Coturnix japonica: one gene and its partners. The protein of the gene in region 3 interacts with the protein of the main gene of each other region in a biochemical or structural test. Links are inferred from orthologs where the notes say so. Each region holds a gene or a part of one and is shown on either strand. Other genes may lie near its edges.

Region 1 (6,544 bases), on a different chromosome or scaffold from region 3:
TCTAACTGATTGGAAAATACTGGCATAGACAGTCATTGCCACATCCAAGTGCATCATCCTAGGGCTCCCTAGCATCACAAAATACTCATTTGCATGTGAGAGCAAAGCTGGCAATCTCAGCTTTCATGTAAAATGGTTAAGGTATGGAAATGGAAAATGAAAAACAGAAAGAAAAAATGTAGCCCCATGGTTTTCAAATCAATCTCTTCGTGTTAGTGCAAGACTCATGAGTCCTGAATGATTGAATTTGACAGTATTCCTAAAGGGCACAATAGCATGAAGAGATTTGTCTCAACCTGGTGCTAAAGAGAGAAAATTCTGCCATAGAATCATGTTGCTTGACAATAAGAGGAATTAAGTTAAGAAATATGACATTTAGGCTAATGAAGACTGAATAACATGTTCAACAGCCTATATTAACATTAAAATGTACGTACTGGTATATGTTGCCAGGGCAGTAACAAGCTGTGCTTGTAATATACTAGTAGTATACTAAGTAGTTTCTAATTTCTCACTTTAAATTTCTGAGTAAATAGTGGGATGTAAAGATTTCCTACCTCTGCCTGTGCTGGAAATATTTATCAGTTATCTTTTTGGGATCTTTTCTTCGAGACTGAAGCAGTACAAGCACAAGGAGACTTATGCTAGCTTAATTGACCTAGGAAGTGGTTGATAACTGTGTACCGGCATCAACACAGACTATTTTTAAATCTGTCAACAAAAAAAATAATTCATTCACCTGCAGATTCTGGCAGCAGTGGATGAAATCTCACAGCAAAGTTTTGATCCTTTCTTGGAGAGCTCCCAGAGGTTGGCTTTGGCAATAGCTTGTCAGCCTTAAGCAACGTTCTTCTCAGGCCTGGGTTGTCATTTGGCTTCTCATCCTACAGATCCAACCTAGAGATAAAGCCACAAAGAGGAGACAGTTCAGCAGTTTGACTTGAAAAGCATTAGACATGCTGCTTTGTTTGTCATATTTGGCTGACGCAATTTCTTCTCTTTTATTCTGAGAAGTTCTGCCTTAGTACATTGTTAGAACTGGAAATTCAGTGTTGAATGAGAAGATGGAGGCTTCTCTGCCCCAACAGCAAATAAGGAAAGGGATTTCTATTTCCCCAAGCCAGCATAAAAGGAATGTTTCTCATGCTTTAGCAAAGGCACAGAAGCTGTGTTTTTACGTATTTTACATTCATTCTGAAAAAAAAGCAAAATTAGCTAGAGATACTTAAGCAAGAATTAAGGAAATGGAGCAGAAACAGTATACATAATCTATCATTATTTTGTTAAGATGTACATGAAGAAAAGTTGCCTTAATGAAGGGGTGAATTTTGGGAAGATATTTTTATGAGAGCCACACTCAGCTTGACTGAACTTCTCCCTTAAGCAGATGAGAAGCTAGGACATAAAAAGCACTTTTAGAGAGATAAATGAAGGATAACATCCAGGCTGGCATTTCTGGCAGACTAAGAAGAGTAGGACAATAAAATAAGAGACAATATCACATTTTGCAAGTGCAGTTATGCTTGTGAGAACAAATACATATAAATTTGACATAACAGAGAAGCTGAAACAATGGAAAGACAGCACAAAGGAGCACAATGCATTTACATCAATATGAAAGGAGGAAATGGAGAGGGAACAAGAGATCAAGGTAGACAAATGATGAGGGTCTAAATGAAAAGGATTTTAGGTGCTGGAAGGAAGAAAACAGGTATCACAGAGAAAGAAACCACAGCCATATAGAATCTATTTTGGAAGATAAAATGAAAGGGATTTCTCACTGCCCGTGAATGTAAGCTAAGTGGTAGGGAGAAAGATAGTATCAATATTGCTAACAGGAATGCCAAGAATGGAAGCCTCATAGAAGGGGTGATGGTTCGGTACATAGACCCTCACAGCACAAAAGCAGACAGCGCAAGAGGCAGGCTGCAATTCTGACCTGGCCATGAGGCAGCAGAACCGAAGACACAGCTCATATGTAATCACACACTATTTTGCAAATCTTAATTTGAAAACTATGGCAATGCAGTGCAAAGGAGTGTTCAATGTTTCTGACTTCTAGAAGATTACAAGGGCAAAAGGGAGAGCAGAATTTATCTGTCGTAGTTTTGTCATTATCCTTATCATTATGTTTGCTATAATCTGCTCTTAAATACCCTCAGCCATAACCTGTTAAGCCTGACTGTATTTAACTGAGCAAAATCTCTGAGCACGAGCTGCTGCGCTGCTTTGAGAGCTCTAACAGAAAGTGCCAACTAAAACTGCTGGGGGGGGGGGAAACAAAGCACAAAAGCAGCTTAGCGACGTGTTCGGGCACCCGCTTTCGATCCCGTGTAACAGGGCTTGTTTTTCACCTCAAAATAACGACCACAAGTCTGGATAAAAGAGAAAAGGAAAAAAAAAACCACAAAAACAACAACGTACATGGAGTAGCCTCGCTCCATGCTCCTCGCAGACTTTGAAGAACGGAGCTGAATTGATGGCAGATCTGAAAAGAACCAGATCTTACCCGGGGCTGGCAATTATTTCGCATTAACCCCATGTGGAGAGAACCAGAATGAGGCGGGCCGTTACCGCACACGGACACCCTGCAGCCCACACGGGCACAGTGCACAGCACGGCCCGGCGCCACACAGCGCGGGCGGCGTGAGGGAGCGCAGCTCACTGACACCACAGCACAACAAGCCCTCAGCCCGCCAGCCCCGCCAACGGCCAATAGCAGCGCTCCTCCCTGCGGCCCGCCGTCCCATTGGCCGCGACCGCGGCTTCCACCGAGGGCCGGGATTGGTCGCTGAGGGGCGGTCGGCAAAAGGCGGCAGCGGGCAAAATTCCGGCGCGTCGCGGCGGCCGCGTGAGTGACTGAGAGAGTGAGAGAGTGAGTCCGTGAGTCCCCGAGTCCCGCGTGTCCCCGAGCCCCTCGCGCCCCATTCCCCGCCGCACCGCGGCCGGCCCCGCGCAGCTCCTCGTTATCATCGGCGGGGCTTGCTCGTCCCCCGCCTCCTCCGCGGTCCCTCGGCGCTTCCCCTGCAGCCCGTCCCCGAGGGAGGGCCCCGCTCTGCGCCGGGCCGGGTCGATACCCACGCACGATCCCGTCAGGACAAGGCGGGCCGGGCGGCCCCGCTTCTCCGGGCCCTGTAGCGCCCCGCGGGGTCCGGCCCCGTTTCCCGCACGGCGCATGCCCTGCAGCTCCCGCCCGCCGCTATCGGTGCCCACAGGGCGGTGTGAGTGTGTCCGAGCGGAGCTTGGCTGCGTGGGCAGCGCGTAACGCCGAGCCGCTGTGACACGGTGCGGGTGTTTGTTGGCCCTTTGTCTGCGGGAACCGGCGGGATCGAGCTCGTGTCCTGTTTGCGCGGCTCCTCGTGCGCTCACGGCGCTGCTCGAGTCGTGTTGCTGCCGGTGGCTGTGTGGCAGTTGATGCTGCAGCCCAGCACAGCCGCTGAGCGCTCCGGACCTGGAGGTTTATGAGCCCTATGGGCCGCCACCGCCTGTGTCTCGCTTATTTCCGTGCCATGGAGAGCTGCTTGTCTGGGATGGGAGCTGGGACAACCGCGGGTGACTTGAGCTGAAACTTTGCATCACATCCGTCTTCCTCTTTTTTTCTCTCAGATGATCCGCTTTGGATATTTCCTAACATAAAAACTAGATGCTTGACTTGATCAAACTCCATCAGGTTCAGTTTTATAACCACGAGGCCCGCTTCCAAGTTTGTAAACTGTGTTAAAATATATTGAGGTATTCCAGGCATTCAGTTCTGCAGCCATCAGAACCTGTTTGACACAAAGTAATGGAAGGGGCACCCTGAGTTACTGAGCCCCCTCCACCCTGCCCATATTCCTGAGGTCCTGCAGGCTGAGCAGCTTTGCTTCCAGCTTTCTGAACAGGCAGGTTCTGGAGCTGGGGCTGGTTGCAGTGAGCACTGCTGTGTGCTGATGGGCTCTCCTTGCTCTGCTGATGAGGCCATGCTCAGTGCATTCCTTGCTCCGCTAATGAGGCTGTGCCATGACAGGTTTGGAACAGGCTTGTCTGCCTGGTCAGCACTAGCAGGGCAGTGCCTACCTGTGAAAGGCTGCAGTGCCACCTCACTGCATAAGTCTCTCAAGTTGTGCTCTCCAGCAAAGTTCTCTCGCAGAAAGAGGCTGTTGTCTGTCCCCATTGTGCTGCGTGAGAATGACAGAATAAAGGTAGCCAGGATTCTCCGGGGACAAAGTGTATTTCTAGCTCACTGAAATAGATGAATCCTTTCATCTGGGAGTTTTTCAAAACACATTCCCCCCCGTTGTAGAAAAGTTCAGGCAGAACTTTGTGGGCTCGGCAAAGGTACAAGCAAGGAAGATCCTCGAGCAGAAAATGGTGCCACTGTGAGAGGCGGTGGTGCTGAGCTCCCTTGTCACTGTTTGTCCTTTCCGGGTGCTCCACGTCTCTTTTCTTCACGAAATAGGATTATCTTTTTTATAACTGTACATTAGTACAATAAGTTACACCTTTTCTTACAAGACTTGGGAAGAAGCATTTCAAAATAAATATGCTCTGTTACTTCTTTTATGAGGGATTAGACCAAATAACGATGCTTTTGGGTTATGTTCTAGAAGAGGGAGAAATTTCACACATTGAGATTTTCTCCTATACGTTTTCAGGTTCTCTGTCTTTGTAGGGGTGCTGCAGCGTACGATGCAGCTAATGCCATGTGGACTGGTTCCTCACTTTTCAAAGCAAACTTAAGGAAAAAGAGCTTTAACATGAATGAGCAAACACTGCCAGATAAAAGAAAATCATTTGTCTCTAACCATATCCTGCTTTCTTCCTTCTTTTCTTTCTTCTTGCCTTTTACTGGGGATCAAGTGGGTTTACTGGTTTGATTTTTCTCTGGGATGGTAGATGCCTTGTGACTCTAGGCAGCACAGAGGAACTCCTCATTCTTTGCATCTCATTTTGGAAACCGAGTGCAGGGCAATGAAATGTATTATCAGGTGTGTTTGCTCCCTCAAGTGTCCAGAAGTGGTTTTCAAGGTCTTGGATGTTTTTTCTTTAGTTTTGTGATGGAGACAGAGTCAAAGTCGCACTGTGATGAACAGCACCCTCATCAGGCTGAAGACACAAGCAGAAAGCATGTGCAGAACAGCAAGCTTTCAGGTGCGTGCTAAAGCAAGGACTGCTAACAATACGTTTTGGTGTTGATGTGCTTCTTCATCACTACAGGAAGTTTCAACATCAATTATCATATTGTATAAAGATTCGATGAACTGAGAACATTTGAAATCGCTGTTGACATAAATTATTTCTGCTTTCCATGTGGCTACAAAAGTTCATCAGCAGTAGTTTGTCACAATTCCTTTATCCTATTTATTGATTACCTAATATATTATCTTAAGGGATAATAGAATTCCAAAAGGGACTTCTTGAAGATAAAATTCCCTTACCAGACAATGTCTCAACAATAATATTTTGCCTTTCAACATGTAATAACCAGCCTTGGCCTTAAATATCTGTAGATGTGTTGGTGTGCACAAGCACACTGTTCTTGGTCATGCAAGAGAAGCTTAACTACAGACACGTACGTTTTGTTACTGCTTTTATTTTGTCTGTTTATGACTTCTTAAATCTGGGTGTTCTGTACACAGGCACCATCCTTGCTCAGTAATTGCTGGTGGTCAGACAGTTTATATATAATGGCTACTGATTTTCCCAGAAATAGACCTCTGTCATTTGCTACACATCCGTGTCCAGAATTAGAGCAGTGCTGAATAGCATTTAATGTCTCACTTTGCAAATGCTTTTCATACCGGGAAGTAAATAAATTATTTTAAAGTCTCACAGAAAATGTTGCAAAGAATTTCTGCATTTTTAAATTGTGTTTGGGCAGCAATGGGGCGAGCACTGTGCCCAGCTGGGGATTTAGGCTCCTGGAAGAGAACAGATGATGTTCATGCTGCTATCAGCAAGGACAGTCAGCATTCGTTTCATTTTGGGATCTTTCACATGTAAAGCTATGTTGACTTGCTAAATCCTCTCAGTGCCTGGGGTATGTACACCTCTGGCCTAGGATCACTCAGTGGTTAGAGCTCTGATAACGTTCAGCTCTTTCAACTCAGTTGCACAAAACCAAGTAGCTGGCAGATTGTATTGCAGCTTTTTGTTATTGTTACTATCTACCGTAGGGCCATTGGTCCGGTGACAATGTAAAGTCAGCTTAAAGTCTGAGCTGCTAGTGTCTGAAGACTTAAAAGATGTGTGATTCAAGTCCTCATTGGAGTCATTAGCATTTTGCCAAGGTTAAGTCCTTTTTTCCAACCAGACAATTTTACTGGAGCAGTTCCAGTGCAAATTCTGTGTAATCAGTAAGAACTGGAGCTTAAGCTCCTCTTTTCAGAAGTCAAACTCATATATGAGCGCTGGAACAGAGCTGCAGGTTGCTTCATTTGGAGCAGGTTGCATAGCAATCTAGTTCTAAACGAGGCAGTTCTGACAGAGCTGTTAAGAACCGTTTCAGCATTTCAAACCATTTTCTATGTCTGTCCTATTGCACACGGCCTTTAGACAGGAAGGT
Region 2 (5,380 bases), on a different chromosome or scaffold from region 3:
GGATGAAGAACTGGAGTCAAGCCTGTGTGAACTGGATACTAGTGCAATGACATCCAGCATTCACCTACTGTTGGATCTGAGTACAGGTAACTCCTGTTAATGTTCACATGGTATCACAGGTACTTGCAATGTGGTTATGAATCATGCTGGCAGTGAGCTAGTGAGTAGCCTATCTTCAAATAGTTACCACTTCATGATAACTTTAATTGAGTCAGTGTGATGCGCAACACTTCTATGCTAGAAATGGACAGAGGTAGTGAAGAGACTAATCAACTAAATGCCTTCCTGGCTTCTCTTTCCTGTTAGCATCTCCCATGCTTGTGGACACATCCTTCCGGTCCCGGCCTGAGGATCAGATGGGAGATCCTATAACTCTAATGACTGTGGGAGAGTATGCAGAAGACATTCATCAGTACCTCAGAGAAGCTGAAGTGAGTATATTTTAACAAATGTAAAGCTGTGTAGGATCTTCCTTAAAGGCTGCAATACTGCAAAGCCATATGGCTGTCACACACTAACTCTAGGCTGTCACTGAACAAACAGTTAAAGCCATTACTGGAGCTTAGTTCTTAGAAATCTTCTAGACAGTGATGATGTTTTTCAGGCATTACTCCACATTCTGAAGATGGGATGTGAGTAGATTATTGCAAAATACTAACGCATGTGACTTCAACGGCTGTTCTGTTTCTTAAATTGTCTTTCTAAACAGGTGAAATACAGGCCCAAGCCCTACTACATGAGGAAGCAACCAGATATCACAACAGAAATGCGTGCCATCTTAGTAGACTGGCTGGTGGAAGTAGGGGAAGAATATAAACTTCGAACAGAGACACTGTACTTGGCAGTGAACTACCTGGACAGGTTTCTCTCTTGTATGTCTGTTCTCAGAGGGAAGCTGCAGCTTGTAGGAACAGCGGCAATTCTTCTGGCAGCGTGAGTGTTTATCTCATGAAATCTTAGTGAGATGAACTTATTTTTGGACTTTTAGTTTAATTTGAAGGACTTTAAGCTTGTGGTGGTAGGTAGGTTTTCATGCTGTCCTAAGATGGTGCCCCATCCCTGGAGGCTTTCAAGGTAAGGCTGGATCAGGCCCTGGGCAACCTGTGTTTGTCTCTGCTTATTGCAGGGACTTGAACCAGATGATCTTTAAAGGTTCCTTCTAAGTGTAAGGATTCTAGGGTTCTGTCATTAGCCACTTAACATACTTTAACTCTTGCAAAACTAAGAATTTAATATTCTTTATTAAGGAACTGTAGAGGGAGAACCTTGTAATCATAATACCAGAAGCAAAAACAGTGCTGTATTAAGCCACTAGCCCATAGTAGGTTAAAAGTTGCAATCTGCAATTAAACTTAAACTGCTTTAAATAGGCAGGGTATCCAGCAAAGCCTAAGGGTGCATGGATTTTTGTCTAGAGTGCATGATGTTACTGACATTTTTTCCTTAAGAGTTTTCTTATTCGTCAAGAGTGCTAGTATGAGTGTATGACTATTTAGGCTGATGACTTAGAGAACATCTTTGCCTTCCCACCAATCTGATAATCAAGCCTCTCCTATACTAGGGAAATCTTAAAATAAGACCTCTAAGCCTGTCTTAGAAATGTCATATGCTCACCTTGATGTGGGCCCAGCAGAAAGTTCTGTTACTTTAACTTTTAAGTTCACAAATCTGGCTTTTCTGTTTTTTTTCCCAGGAAATATGAAGAAATCTACCCTCCAGAAGTGGATGAATTTGTGTATATAACAGATGATACATATACAAAGAGGCAGCTGCTAAGAATGGAACACCTGCTTCTCAAGGTTTTGGCTTTTGATCTCACAGTGCCAACCATCAACCAGTTCCTACTTCAGTATATTCACAAGCATGGAGTCTGTTTCAGGACAGAGAATTTTGCAAGGGTATGAATTACCATTCTTTTAAGATAGATTTGTAGGCTGCTACCATCAAAATGCAGGCTTCCGTGCTTCATTATTTCTGGATAAATGCCTGGGAATGCTGAGCTTAGCCTGTGTCTGGTCAACTAGACTATCTTGGCAGCAAGGTCTTAGGAATCCTTTCTTCAAATGAATATGCATGGGAAGCCTGACCTGGACATGATGATTCTTCATGTTGCTGCCCAATGACACAGCATATTCCCACAGAATGCTTGGGGAAACAGTGCTTCAAAATGGTGTGTCACACAAGCTTATAACAAAACCTCTGACTTGCTGCTTAGCTTAAAACATCTGAGATTTGTACAGCACTTATTCAAACAGACGAGATTTGTTTCTTAGGTGCTCATTTAGCCCAGGTCACCAATTAAGTGAGGTTCAACCATGTGAGCAAAATCATCATAGGAAGAGATGATGATGGTGGTGGTGTGTTTTTGTGGGGGCGTTTTGTTAGACAAAACATTGCTGTGATTTTTTTGTAGATAGGTTTAGAAGATTTGATTGGAATTTATGCGAGTCTTGGTTATTTAGGCTTTGACAGATGTGTGATCTTCCTGCTCCTGCTGGATGATGCTGAAAGTCCTGTAAGATCAACAGGACTGGAATACTGCCTACCACTACCTATCAGATATGTAGCTCATGTTTCTTACATAGAACTGAGGACCAACCAATTCAAGTGCTCAGTATATTGGCATAGCTCTACCTGATAGAGCCACTCTATTTGAAAGACTTGTGCTTTTTCTTTTTTTCTGTTAAGTATCTTGCAGAGCTGAGTCTCCTTGAAGCCGATCCTTTTCTGAAGTACCTTCCTTCACAAACTGCTGCAGCAGCCTACTGTCTAGCAAACTATACAGTGAACAAATCATTCTGGGTAAGAATAACTGCATACTGATGTTTAGCTCAATTGTTTTATAACTAGAGACCTGCTGAGAAGTAGGAGTGGCTTCAGATCACGTTACTGTAAAGTCTGAAATGCAAGGATGAGCAGCTTTTTCCAAGCTAATGGCTGTATGTAATTAACAAATGTTAAACTAATCTGAATTATCTTGCCTTCTCCCTGAAATGGAAAGGTCCTTTCTGTTTTCACTTAACATAAGTGTGCACCTTAGGCCTTGTCAGTAGGTAGTCTCAAGTTTCTACCCTAGATAGAATTCAGGGGCTTTTGGGGAGGGGGAGAGAGAGCTGAATGCCACTACACTGAGTGGCAGCTGTAATAGAAATCTTGATAGGCCTGTCAGGTATCTGTGCTTTAGCAGGAAGCAAAATGCAGAAGAAACATAATGAATGCAGTGGACTTAAAGCAGGAGGAAGTTCTTCTCAGACCTGACACCAAGGAAGACTTCCAGTAAATCTGATGGTGGATCTCAAATCTAGAGTGAAAACAGTTCTTGCTTCTATAGAAGCATCTTACCTAAAGTAGAATAACATGTTTTTTTTCCTCCCCTTACCAGCCAGAAACACTTGCTTCATTCACTGGATATTCATTAAGTGAGATTGTGCCTTGCCTGACTGACCTGCATAAGACATGCCTTGATGCTCCGCATTGCCAACTGCAAGCAATTAAGGAGAAATATAAACATCCTAAGTAAGTAACCAAGAAACTAGCATTTCCTCACTTGGGGGTTGTAGGCACAGGATGATTCTGCTTGAGCAACTTGAGTAGTAACTCTTATAGTTCATAAATTCCTTATACTGGACATATTTTGTTGCTGACTTTGAAGCCTTCCTCAGCATCTTGAGGGGAATACTCTTCTGGACAGGAAAGTAGTTGATTCACAGATAGACAAATGTAGTGGATCACGATTCTATTGCAGTATGGCTTGATGGCTTCTTTCCTACTGTGCTTCATCAGAAGGCTCCTTGCAGTACTTTTACATCTGTCACCTAAACTATTAGTTTCATTGGTTGTATTTCTATTCCAGGTACCTGCAGGTATCTCTTCTGGAGCCCCCAGCAGTTCTTCCTCTACGCTAGAGATGGTGGATCCTGGACTTAGGTTTATTTTGTCTCAATGAACAAAGCTGGTCTAACATCTCATAGAGCACTGCTGGTCATGCGTCTGTGATCAGAAGTATTTTTAGCTAGTATTTTTTAATTAGATGTCTTTTTAAAAAAGTATATTAGAACATAGCTCTTAATATAATTGACAGCACTTTTAATAAATGTCTTATTACACTTCCTCTGAATCTTTTGATTCCAGTTAATATATGCAGTAATGGTGCGTGGAAAGGTTTACTTACAAAATCACTGAGATGGGCCTTTAATAGAGCTGGAATGGGTCAAGTGGTAGGTCCTTCAATCCAATACATTCTACACAGATATGGTTGACTACTTCTTATTCTATGACAAGATGATGTGCCCATGAACAGAAACTACTTTCTGGGATTTGTCTGCGGGTGCCAGAACAAGTGGTCTATGAATACTGACGACTGTTGATGCTCAGCTAAAAATTCAACTCCCATTACGGTGTGGTAACACAGGATTTTCTCTGGGGAGGTGGGTGAAAGGGAAACTGAGGCTTTCTAGAGAAACCATCACTCTTAACAGAAAGGAGCAGGCAAAGGGTAGGAAGCTTTCCTTCCCAGTTCTTAACTATCTTATCCTGAGCTCTGTTATCTGTACAGAGAATTATGTTTTGAAGCAAGGATATGCTGAATGCTTGACATTGACATACAGTTCAACAGTTGAAATACTAGTTAACAAGCCTATTGCTTTATAAAACCTGATCATACCAGTGTCTGTGTCGTGAAGCTGTTAGCTTCAAGTGTTTCACTTTCTTTGATAGGCACACAAACTTTCTCCTGCCTCTTCCATGTGTAGGCTCACCAGTCCTGCTAGGGATGTAGACTATACTGTATGTCCCCAAAATGGGGCAGGGGTAATAACTTGATTTTACTTAAACAAAATAACCTGTAAGGGAGGGGAGCACTCAGTTTTGAGCCTGCCCTGTGCAGTTTTTAGTTTCATTGCAAAGCTTGCTAGTAAAATGCATCTGTGTCACACTGACAGATGTGACCAGGTATCCCTTACTGACATCTCTGGTACGCATGTTATGATTGGAGTTAACACTATCAACCTTTTTGCTGCAATAAATTTCACAGCTTATGGGTGAATGGTCTGAAAGGTGGGCTATCTACTGTGCCCATGCATTCAGGCAACTCCTTTAAAGTAGATGGCTAAGGAAAATGGCCAGAAGCAGCGATGTCTAGCTACAGTGTGGAGTGGAGGGTTCCTTGATTCATTGTTTCATAATGGAAAAATAAGTGTACTGTATAGTCCTTCTAAATCTGCCAGCTATGAGTACTGGCTTTTTTAATGGTGTTTCAGGCTGAATATGAACTGTCCTGAAACCTCATGTTAATAAGCCTTAATTCCCTTATGAGGTACTGTTGCTTACTGAATTGCAAGCGCTATAGAGCTGGGTATTTTGGAAGCACTAATGAATGCCT
Region 3 (5,421 bases):
GGTTTTATTTGTTGATTTTCTTTTACCCCAGCCTTATGTGCTGATTTATTTTCCAATATTTTGCAGATTAATGTGGTTGGGGAGCCGTTTCTGAATGTAAATTGTGAGCACCTAAGAGCATTTGATGAAAATCTTTACAGACAGCTCATCTGCTATCCTCAGGTGAAGTACTGCACTTGTCTACTGGCTGTTTAGTGACCTTTTTACCTGTTTATGAACGTTTGTTTAAGTGCAGTGTGTAATTTCTATGTTTAGTGTAATCGTTTCTTCATTTTAACGTCTTATTTTGTAGTAGTCCAAAGGTTTTAGACCTTGTGATAGGTGTCTCCTGCATACAAAATGTTCTGTTAAACTTCATTGTACCAAGTACTGCATTGTGTCTTTTCCTTTTGCAACAGTCAAATAAGTAAATCTGATTTTATGGTAAGTTGCCTGTTATGTAGGAAAACACAGTGTGTTCTCTTTTATTTAGTTTCTTGACATCCCTGGCAGATCAGCAGCACTTTAAAATGTATTACGCAGAAATATCCTGTTAGGCTTCTGGTTTGTTAGCACGTGGGGGGTTTTTTCTCTTCTAAGCTTAACTGTTCCTATCAATTCTACACAGGAAGTTATCCCAACGTTTGACATGGCTGCCAATGAGATCTTTTTTGATCGCTATCCTGATTCCATATTAGAACATCAAATTCAAGTGCGACCATACAATGCACTGAAGACTAGGAATATGAGAAGCCTAAACCCTGAAGGTAAACCTCTAAATTGCCGCGTTAGAAAAACAATCTGAAGGATTTACATAAGTTTATTACATTCTAACACACAATTTATGTATAGACTACTTACAACTGGACTTGTGGTCCATCCATACCAATGTACTTCATTTTGCTTAAGTCTGTTTTGGAATCAAATGCTGTGGAGTCCAAATGGAGAACATATCTCCAAAGGAAGTCTATCTGTCATCAGCTACCCATGTTCTTACTTCTGCAAGAGTAGAAGACTATTCTGTATGAATACTCACTTATATTAGTATATTAGTATTACAGTTATGACAGTTTTTGTTTTGTCTATGACAAAATAGTCATTTCTAACTGGATGTCCACTTCCCACCTAAAAACTAACAGGATGTAGATCTTTGAATGTTATTTTAAATTTAAAGACTGCGATGTGATGACATAAGCATCTGTATTTTGTAGACATTGATCAGCTTATCACCATCAGCGGTATGGTGATCAGGAGCTCCCAATTAATTCCTGAGATGCAAGAAGCATTCTTTAAGTGCCAGGTCTGCGCGTTCACCACAAGAGTAGAAATTGACCGCGGCAGGATTGCTGAACCATCAGTGTGCAGGAACTGTAACACGACGCACAGTATGGCTCTGATTCACAACAGGTCCATGTTTTCTGACAAACAGATGGTACGTTGTGCTTTGATATTGGATAAAATGAAACTTTTTTCCAGTTCTTGTTTCCCATCTCCCCTAATATCATCACAGCATGAAGGTATGCATCTTGAGAAGGAAAGTTCCTAATTGAAAATGATGCAGGAAGCTGTGATAATACAAGATCTTGTATACCTTGTGTACAGCTTTCTTTTTTTTCTTACTTTCGACTTGGTTTTATTTGTTTTTGCTAGATCAAACTGCAGGAATCCCCTGAAGATATGCCAGCCGGACAGACACCTCATACGGTTGCACTGTTTGCTCACAATGACCTTGTTGATAAAGTTCAACCAGGCGATAGAATTAATGTCACAGGTAAAATTTACTTTATTTGCATTTTCCTTTTTAACTGAACTGTAGTAGTTTAATCTATGAGTCTGCTTGTCTGGCAATTGGACGCTTCTTAAGACATATTAGTTAATATGTTTCTTTTATCTAATGCTGTCATTAATTGTATTTAGGCATCTACAGGGCAGTCCCAGTTCGAGTTAATCCGAGGGTCAGTGTTGTAAAATCTGTCTATAAGACCCACATTGATGTCATACATTATCGCAAGACTGATTCAAAACGCCTGCACGGTGTTGATGAGGAAACGGAGCAAAAAATGTTTACAGAAGAACGTGTGGCATTTCTAAAAGAGCTGTCTACTAAAGCAGACATATATGAGAGACTTTCTTCAGCACTGGCCCCAAGTATCTACGAGCATGAAGATATCAAAAAGGTAAAAGGAATTGTGTATTTTGCTTGTAAAACATTTCTGAATTGCAAGTACTCTTTAATTGTTTGCTATACAAATGAGACTTCAAATGAGTTGATATTTTGACTTTAAAGAGCACGTTTGTTTTTTTAACAGGGCATTCTACTTCAGCTCTTTGGAGGATCAAGAAAGGATTTCACTCGCACAGGTAGAGGCAACTTCCGTGCAGAGATCAACATTCTTCTCTGCGGTGATCCCGGCACTAGTAAATCCCAGCTACTCCAGTATGTGTATAACCTGGTTCCTCGAGGCCAGTATACCTCTGGGAAAGGCTCAAGTGCGGTTGGTCTTACTGCATATGTGATGAAGGATCCAGAAACTCGGCAGCTGGTTCTTCAGACAGGCGCTTTAGTACTCAGTGATAATGGCATTTGCTGCATTGATGAGTTTGACAAAATGAATGAAAGCACAAGATCAGTACTTCATGAAGTAATGGAACAACAGACTCTCTCCATTGCAAAGGTTGGTGTCTGCTTAAGTCCAAGTTTTTTGTTCTAAGCATCAGCTCAGGGCAGATGAAACCAAGAAGTTGCCAGAACCAGGGTTGTACTTTTCCGGTGTTGTTAGGATTTCAATCCTAAATTATATAACATCTCGTGCTTATGGACACAGGGCTATCCTTGCATGAACTGTATTATTTCCAGATGCTTTTCTTCTTGCTTTACTCTAGTAGGCTTCTGCAATGAGTTTTTCTATTATGAAACCCTTTAAATGACACTGATCTTATGAAGGTTCTGAATCCAGAACTGCTTTTTCATTTTAACAGGCCGGAATCATTTGTCAACTGAATGCTCGCACATCTATTCTAGCAGCAGCTAACCCAATAGAATCACAATGGAATCCAAAAAAGAATACTATTGAAAACATCCAGCTTCCTCACACACTGTTATCAAGGTACTGAACCCTTCACATGTCTCATGTTTTTTTTACCTGTTGTGAAAAGGATTCAGTATGGTAGAATCAGAATTGCAGCTTCTGCATGAGTGGAGATCTACCTTCTAGTCTATTCATCTTGAACAGAAGATCTGATAAAATCTGTGGATCTTAATCTTTGTTGTGTTCTTTTGTTGGCTTTTTTTTCCTTCCCCCTTGTCTCAAGATCATCCTCTGGAGGAGTTACCTTGAACCTTACAGTAGTTGGTAACTTGAATGGAAACCCAGCATGATTTTCATAACCCTGCACAAGTTTGAAGTGAAACACTGATGATTAGGGAACTTGCACTGGATGTGGTGGACTCTAAAGTTCTGTGCCTGCTTGTTTTCATCCTGTGAAATTCAGTCAGGGAGGGGGCATAGATCTCCTTGGACAGTAGCTGTTAAAACAGCATGTAGCATCTGCAGATGTGAAATTAAGCTATGTACTTTAATTGCATCTGGTGAGCAGTTCCTACACTAATTTAAAGTATATGGATGGTATGCTGGATATTCTGAGAACACCATTTATAGTTCAGAATTCAATGAAAGGCTGCTGACAATGACAGGTAAGTACCTTAGCTGGGATATACCGAAGGAAACTAGGTTTGAGCATGTCTCATTTCTGCCATTTATTGGATTTAAGGTTTTGAAAATACGTGACTAACTAGCTAGAACATTATTATTTACAGTTACCTACAATGTTACCTATTGTGTGCAGAACTAATATTTTGTATTTATTTTAAATGCATATACATCTATATGAATATAGTGAATAGTTATGCACTTTGGTTGCTGCTGCTTTTCAGGGCAGCAGCTCTTACAGTAAGTTTGTTCTGTGTTATTTGTTTAAAACTCCCAAAGAAAAAAGACCAAGTCTGCCTTGAACCAAATTTCACAAAATGTATCTTGTCTTCAAAGTGCATATGTTGAAAGCAAATTCAAACTGATCTGAGGGTTAGACTCGGTGATCTAGCCAGCTGCAGTTCTGTAGTGTTTTGTATTTAAAGGTGTTTGAGGGAAAAGTACTCTTTCAGTTTAAAGAGCACCCTTCATTTGGAGTAGTATCTCCTAAATCTAATTGTGAAGTGAAAAACCATAAAAGAATCAACTTTAAATTGCAGGAAAATATACACGCTCATATTTGATTCTTATTCCGTTCAGGTTTGACTTGATCTTTTTAATGTTGGACCCACGTGATGAAGCCTATGACAGACGTCTTGCTCGCCATTTAGTTTCACTGTACTACCAAAGTGAAGAAAAGCTGGAGGAGGAGTACATGGACATGGCAGTACTGAGGGATTACATTGCCTTTGCTCGCAGTTATATAAATCCCAGGTTAAGTGAGGAAGCAAGCCAAGCCCTTATTGAGGTAAAGTAATTGCTGTTAAGAATGTTCCATGTCTTTGCTGACTTCTCAAAAAGGGCAAAATGCCCAACTATTTCTGTTTCCTACCTATCAAAAACCTCTAAAAATCACAAGCTTTTAAAAGGAGAGAGGGAAGTACTATTAAAGTAATTCTGTATTGTAATCCTTAGGTTACTTTTTGGGGTGTTGACTTGATTTTGTCATGTTTGAAAGTGTGTAGCTTTCCACAGTTGCTGATAGTCAGGGATAGCGCACAAGGGATAAAAGAGACTTGTAAGTTAGGGCAGTAACGGGATTTACTGAAATAGTTAATGCCTGCTTTTCAGGCATATGTGGACATGAGGAAGATTGGAAGTGGCAGGGGAATGGTTTCTGCATATCCTCGACAACTTGAGTCTCTGATCCGACTGGCAGAAGCCCACGCTAAGGTACGCTTTTCTGAGAAAGTTGAAATCATTGATGTAGAAGAAGCAAAACGTCTCCATCGGGAAGCTCTGAAGCAGTCTGCTACTGACCCAAAGACTGGCATTGTGGACATATCCATCCTCACTACAGGTTTGTGTTTTTGTAGTGATAAAACTTAGATGTCTGGGGGCTTTAATCAATTTAAGAAGTAACTTAAACCTTTCCTCTCCAACTTAGTACTAAAAGGTGATTTTTTTTTTTCTTGTTATAAGGAATGAGCGCAACCGCTCGTAAGCGGAAAGAGGAGTTGGCTCAAGCCTTGAGGAAGCTTATCCAGTCCAAAGGTAAAACACCAGCTTTGAAGTATCAGCAGCTTTTTGAGGATCTCCGAGCACAGTCTGACACAGTAAGTCTCCTGCTTTTTTTTTTTTTTTATTTCTCCTTTTTTTACATTCTCCCTTCCAAACCATTATCAACTCATCCTCATATCATGTTGTTAATTTGACTGGAAAGCCAGTTCCACTGCATAAGCTTTGATTTCTG
Region 4 (5,929 bases), about 79 Mb from region 3:
TTCTTTTGTTCAATGTAATGCTTAACATCTAGTAAAGAGAAAATTATATTTAGCTGAATTTATTTTTGCATGTTTGAAGTTATTCATCATTTTTAATATTTATAACTCAAAGAAGTTTAAAGAAAACGTTCAATTAATGCTTCACCAAAGCTATTTACCATCAACATGAAGTACTTTCACACCCCAGTTCAAAGCATTGGACAGTATGCTACCAGAGGGGATTAGTTCCTGTGAAAAGAAAAAATTCTCATTTTCAGCAGTAGATCAAATAAACTGTCATAAATATCAATATACTACATCTTGTAATAAGAACTATCTTATGAAAGCTGAGATCTGACTGTAGACTATTTACTTCTTGCCAAAATACTTACAAATATCCTCAACTGACTTTTCCATCTCCATGTCACTGCACTTCACTTATCAAAGGATTACAGTTAACATCTCACAAAGCCAAGAGCCTTCTCTACTGTCATACTTTATAGTATGCAATACTTGAAGACAATGGATTTGTACATATAATTTCACAAGCACTTCTCAAATGCTAGATACAATTACAACCTTGATAAAATATAATACCGATTATAAGACTATAAGACATTCAGCTCTTCAGGAACTACCCAGAAAACATCATCTGACAGTTATGCTTAGAACAATTCCCCAATTCCTGCCTGAACATCCCATGAGACACCTCCGTCTTAGACCCACCATCATTCTTACTAGTGCTTGTTTTCCAGAACCACAGGACCAAAATTCCTCAAGTACAAATGTATGGATTACTCAACTTACCTGCTCTCTGATTGCTTTTTCAGCTAAGGATTTTCCTCTGCTCAAACGTACCTATATTATAACAGAAAGACATTCGTAGCAAGTTAGATTTCATTTCAGAAAGTAAAAGGTAAAGCAAATTTAAAAATTTTTATTAGCAAAAGTCTGTGATCATCTCCTTTGGTTTATTTCAGTTATTTTTCATTAATTTTCATTTTTCATACAAGGCTGGGGTTCATACATTCTGAGGGGAAAAAAGACAAAGTACTTTTCAACCAAAGCAGGTCACTGAACGGCTGAAGCAATGTCAAGTGCTGGATCAAGACAGATGGTACGAACGGGCAGCCTGCGGGATACACCAAAAGATGAGGTGTCATCAATTGACCTTGTGCTAAATTTAGCTACCAGCCATGAATGTAACTATAGCCTGAGCCATAATTATCACCACCTTTTCTTTTATACTATATTCTGTACATTCATAATGAACGTGCCTTCACCTATCCACATGATTGTCAAGATGGGGTGACCTCAGGCACCCAGTGCAAAGACCAACCTGCAGACTGTCCCACACATACATTTCTAAATAAGTATCAAGGATACAGTTAGGATAGAAAGGGAACTAAACTTGACAGTGAAACAGACTTCAAGTAAACCTGCAGAAACTCAGAAACTGCTGAAATTAACACAATCATCTAAGAACTAAAAGAAAAAAAAACACCCAAACAAACTAAACCTGATAATGTTCAATTGCAATTATTTTATTGAACTACTAAGGACGCCACTTTGCAACACCGGAGGCCCTGGGTTCGAATCCCCCCTGTGGCGCAAGTGGTAGAAGTGCCGCTCTGCTACACAGAGGCTCGAATCCCGGGGGTTGGACTCGATGATCTCTAAGGTCCCTTCCAACCCGCACAAGACTGTGATACTGTGATACCATCAAAAACTACTTCTGTGGCTATTTGCATTAACAGCATTAGAAAACAAGACAGGAGAAAAATTCTGATAGCGCATCTCCCAGGTTGTAGTCGTTTTACAGCATTATTACAATAGAAACTTACTGCATCTGCTGCCTTAAATGAATTTCCATCCTGTCGATCTTTTCGGCCGCTGGGATGAGTTGTACCATTTCCTCCACTGCACACAGATTCCGGGCTGGGAGCTGGAGAAATCTGACTAAGTGCTGGTGCAAATTTTGCCTCCTTTTTACTGGACACGAGATAGCTGATATCTTTGCTAAGAAAACTCTCCACTCTCTAAATAAAAATAAATAAAGCACGATGTTACTTCAGGACAGCAAAGTAGTAATTCCCTTTTTGCTTTGTGTGCACTGAAAAAAAAGTGATAAAACTACAACTAAACAAATCCACTATTACGCACATAAAACAGAATTATCAGGAAGACATTTAAAATATATACATGACAACAACAACTGAACCGTAGTAAGATCTTACCAGTGACAAACCCTAGTTTCACTTCTCCGATTTTCTAATCCCAACCAAAAAAGCAACTTTGCTTTATTTTGATTATTACCATTCCTTGATGAATTGAGCTGTAATACCTTCCATACAGAAGAACTTGGCACACTGAGAAATTACAGAATAAGTCAAAGGAAGCCAAATTTTATGTAATTTAACAGAAGTTACCAAGTGTTCAGCTAAACTTAGCTCAAAGATGCACATGCAAACATAATTTACAGTTTACAAGGAGATTTAACAATGAACTTCAGAAGCCACAGAATCATAGAATCACAAGGTTGGAAAGGACCTATAAGATCATCTAGTCCAACTATCTTCCCTTTACCATACCTACAGAAAACCCCTAAACTATGTCTCCTAGCTCCCTATCCAGATGCTTCTTGAACACTGCCAGGGATGGCAACTCCACCACCTCCCTGGGCAGGTTATTCCAGTGCCTGACCACTCTCTGAGGAAAAAAGTTCCTCCTTATGTCCAGTCTAAACCTCATCTGATACAACTTGTGGCCACTTCCTTGGGTCCTGTTTATTGCCTGAAAACTGAGTTTTCAAGATAGTTACCCCATTTCACACCTACAGTATTCATAACACTCCTGTGAAATGTATTAGCTTGAATAGGTTAATAGCATTTTCAAACTCACTGAAAAAAAACTTAAGTTTTCCCCATGTTCATTCTCTTCTGTTTTGCTCCTTCAATCTTTCACTACCTGCCATTGTACTGTTATCAGTTTTATTTGGCTAATGATTTCTTGCTAGCTTATGTAGCTTAAAGTCTTTTTATCTTCTCTACTAATCAGTGTGGAAAGCAAAAATCAGAGCCAGCAAGTTTGAAACTGCACCTTCTCATTCTTCTCTACAAACTTTACAGAAATGGGACACGGAGGTTTCTGAGTGCACCCCACAGAAGCAACAAAGAAACACGTGGAAGGTGACCCTGAGGGCACTGGGCCTAAATCTGAGGATTTATGCACATACTCCCCAGAATAAAACAGAAAAGCTTTATTTTCAGTCTTAGACTTGCAACCTTACTGCTTACAAATGAATTCCTAAAATTCTGCTCTAAAGATAAAATACTCTAGTTCAGTGCTGAATGTAGAGATATCTGTAACCTGAAATCTTATTATGGCAACTTACTGACTTTGATACTAGTCAGGATGCTGTCTGAAATTCATTTCATACAACTGCTCAGCACTCCTCTAGTAAAAATAACCAAAAACTCCTGCCAAAATAACACTCAAGACAATTTGCAATTTAAGTAGTTCCTTTTTTCTACACTGGCTAAAGGAAATTTTATACTTGTATTACCACAATACCCTTAAACTAATTCCAAATATTCAACTTCAAAGTGGCCCAAGTACTTACACTGCTCACATTTCACTTGCTTTTATCAAATACTTTCTTCCCCCCACACACACAAAAGAGAGAATTTGCAGAAACAAACTATTAACAAGATGCTTACAGAATTTACAATTTAAACATTAATACTTAATTTTCATTAGCATACTCTAAGCAGAAAGCATTTACTGAAATGTCTTACTGAGGTAAAATGCTAAGGCTGAAATGTAAAAACCTGACTATGAAAGTATTACACAACTTTAACCACCAAAATTTCTTGCTGGCTTTGAATATCTCCATCTCCAGAGGAGACTCCAGCAGCTCTCTGAGCAGCCTGTTCCAGTGCTGGAGCTGATCATCTCAGCTGACATTACAGAGCATTTGAATTTCCTGCTGCAGCTCCTCACCGCACCCCAGCCTTATCGGCCATTCTTGTGATAATGCCACCAGAACTGGACGAAGTATTGCTCTTAAAATAGTGGCTCTCACGGCTGTTTGCACACGGTAGAAAGACGAGTACTTAAAAACATTAAGGTTAAAATCCAGAATGTAAGTGAAATTAGCTATACAAATCTTTGTTTAAAGAACTCCAGAGAACCTTTTAAAAACTAAATGCCTTAAAAGAATTAAAGAAAAAAAAAAAAAAAAAGGAAAAAAATATGCAAGAAGTCAGTGTGGGGTTGTTGAGTTTTTTGTTCGTTTGTTTTTCAAACCTCATCTCATACTGCTTTGGTCCTGTTTCCTAACTCCCCTGCTCTATTCAGCTCACATTTCAACCATGACACTGAGGAGTTGATGTTCTGCTGCCAATCTCTCAAAACTTTTTGTTTCCCTCTACATCCTTTTGGGCCCAACAACTGCACTGAAGTTCTTTCTTCGGTTCTTCCTCCACAACCTGCCCTGAATGCCAAGAGAGGTGTAGATCTCCTCCCTCTGCTAGGTGACAGTACTCCAGCTCAGCCTTTATAAGCCTCAGCCCGTACTTGAGAAAAAAAAATAAGCCAAACCACTTTCCCATTATACTTTTAGTTAAGTAGCCTCTAAACACAAAATGTATTAGAAAATCTAAGAAATGCTATCTTATATATGATTCGATTAAATGCATACAAACTCCATCAGATCATTCAAGTAAAAGACAACCTTAACAAATACCCCAAACCAAGCTAAAAGAACACGAGACTTTCCATAAACATATGCAAAACACTTCCTCTAACCTCTTTCGGGTTCATCAGAAGAACTTTAGCTATAACATGTTTACATGTGTCAAAATACTCCAAGGTTGCAGAAACACTTTGCTTCAAACACAAACTTACAGCACTTGGATAAAAAACTAAGTAAACGAACCATCAGCTGAAAATGAACCTCTGTGATAAAAACTTCTGCTACACACAGAAGAACAGCTCCTAGTAAAAACAAAAACCCCACAAAACCAACTTCTTGATAAGCCGATGATCTATACTAAACACTAAAATGACATGAAAAAAATAAAATCCCTTCACATCTAAAATAAATGTAACATTAAAACACAGCAGCACAGTACATGGAGAGACATCCCAGCTGCAGGTTTTCTTTCAGTTTCATTGGGCACTTTGAACATGAACTTACCCCTCCTAATTCTTTAAGATCCTTCCCTATTTTTTCGGAGATCACATTTGATGGAATATCGAGGTAAAACACTTTCCCAGTGAGTGGTTTATATTTCAGTTTCTCTGCTTTTCCTACTTCTTTTTTCACATTCTTCAGAGAAGATTTTACCTTTTCTGTTTTTGCTTGCATTTCATCTGCTGCCAAAAGAGAAGACAATTTTAGAAGAATTATATTCTACAAAATGTGGGTTCTCCTCTTTTTAAATATGAAAGAAGTTAAGCTTCCATGTAATAAAAGACATTTATTAAAGAGCTACATGTTAAACATGTCAAAAACAAGACATATATAATAACAAAGAGCTCTTAAAAGTGTTTTTTTTTTAAATCATGCACTAAAATGGACTTTTTATTTCAGTTGCCATACAATGCCATCCATTTTCTCATCCTCTTTGTTAAGCATTTTCCATCCCCACAGCACATACACTACTTGTACAGACAGTGATTATCACAAGAACACTATTTAGGAGGAAAAAGAACAGCCTCTCTCCTTTTCAACTAGGAAAAAAGGAAGATTCGTATAGAAGCAACAGAACAAAAACAAATCAAAAGCCAGTGTAACATTAAAAAAATAGGAAGATCCCCCTGTTTATCTAATTTTTGAGCACCCATCTGAGACTGAGGAAGTCTGCTTCAAGTTCCAGAATCATTCTAGTTATGACCATCCTTTCTGTCCTGGTCAATTTTTCTCTTAAAATAAGAGATAACACAC

Evidence for each region.
Region 1: of the proteins of MCM4 (region 3) and CDC7, one has a biochemical effect on the other in vitro, tested with the Homo sapiens proteins (2 studies listed by BioGRID). The link is inferred for Coturnix japonica from reciprocal best matches to the Homo sapiens genes MCM4 and CDC7.
Region 2: the proteins of MCM4 (region 3) and CCNA1 form a complex in vitro, tested with the Homo sapiens proteins (2 studies listed by BioGRID and IntAct, with this or other methods). The link is inferred for Coturnix japonica from reciprocal best matches to the Homo sapiens genes MCM4 and CCNA1.
Region 4: of the proteins of MCM4 (region 3) and DBF4, one has a biochemical effect on the other in vitro, tested with the Homo sapiens proteins (2 studies listed by BioGRID). The link is inferred for Coturnix japonica from reciprocal best matches to the Homo sapiens genes MCM4 and DBF4.

What each region holds. Positions count from the first base shown.
Region 1 is NC_029523.1:12,593,981-12,600,524, reverse strand, and holds the start of CDC7 (cell division cycle 7-related protein kinase), read left to right. Parts: upstream 1-2,753; 5' UTR 2,754-2,851; intron 2,852-3,206; exon of another isoform or gene 3,207-3,552; intron 3,553-5,029; 5' UTR 5,030-5,036; coding exon 5,037-5,130; intron 5,131-6,544. UniProt on the Homo sapiens protein: Kinase involved in initiation of DNA replication. Phosphorylates critical substrates that regulate the G1/S phase transition and initiation of DNA replication, such as MCM proteins and CLASPIN.
Region 2 is NC_029516.1:154,341,645-154,347,024, reverse strand, and holds the end of CCNA1 (cyclin-A1), read left to right. Parts: coding exon 1-86; intron 87-306; coding exon 307-431; intron 432-709; coding exon 710-933; intron 934-1,693; coding exon 1,694-1,898; intron 1,899-2,688; coding exon 2,689-2,802; intron 2,803-3,382; coding exon 3,383-3,516; intron 3,517-3,853; coding exon 3,854-3,905; 3' UTR 3,906-4,117; downstream 4,118-5,380. UniProt on the Homo sapiens protein: May be involved in the control of the cell cycle at the G1/S (start) and G2/M (mitosis) transitions. May primarily function in the control of the germline meiotic cell cycle and additionally in the control of mitotic cell cycle in some somatic cells.
Region 3 is NC_029517.1:97,602,626-97,608,046, forward strand, and holds part of MCM4 (DNA replication licensing factor MCM4), read left to right. Parts: intron 1-66; coding exon 67-162; intron 163-607; coding exon 608-746; intron 747-1,190; coding exon 1,191-1,411; intron 1,412-1,629; coding exon 1,630-1,750; intron 1,751-1,896; coding exon 1,897-2,156; intron 2,157-2,288; coding exon 2,289-2,654; intron 2,655-2,958; coding exon 2,959-3,086; intron 3,087-4,268; coding exon 4,269-4,476; intron 4,477-4,799; coding exon 4,800-5,028; intron 5,029-5,150; coding exon 5,151-5,284; intron 5,285-5,421. UniProt on the Homo sapiens protein: Acts as a component of the MCM2-7 complex (MCM complex) which is the replicative helicase essential for 'once per cell cycle' DNA replication initiation and elongation in eukaryotic cells.
Region 4 is NC_029517.1:18,956,845-18,962,773, reverse strand, and holds part of DBF4 (protein DBF4 homolog A), read right to left. Parts: intron 5,359-5,929; coding exon 5,180-5,358; intron 2,019-5,179; coding exon 1,824-2,018; intron 838-1,823; coding exon 787-837; intron 229-786; coding exon 159-228; intron 29-158; coding exon 1-28. UniProt on the Homo sapiens protein: Regulatory subunit for CDC7 which activates its kinase activity thereby playing a central role in DNA replication and cell proliferation. Required for progression of S phase.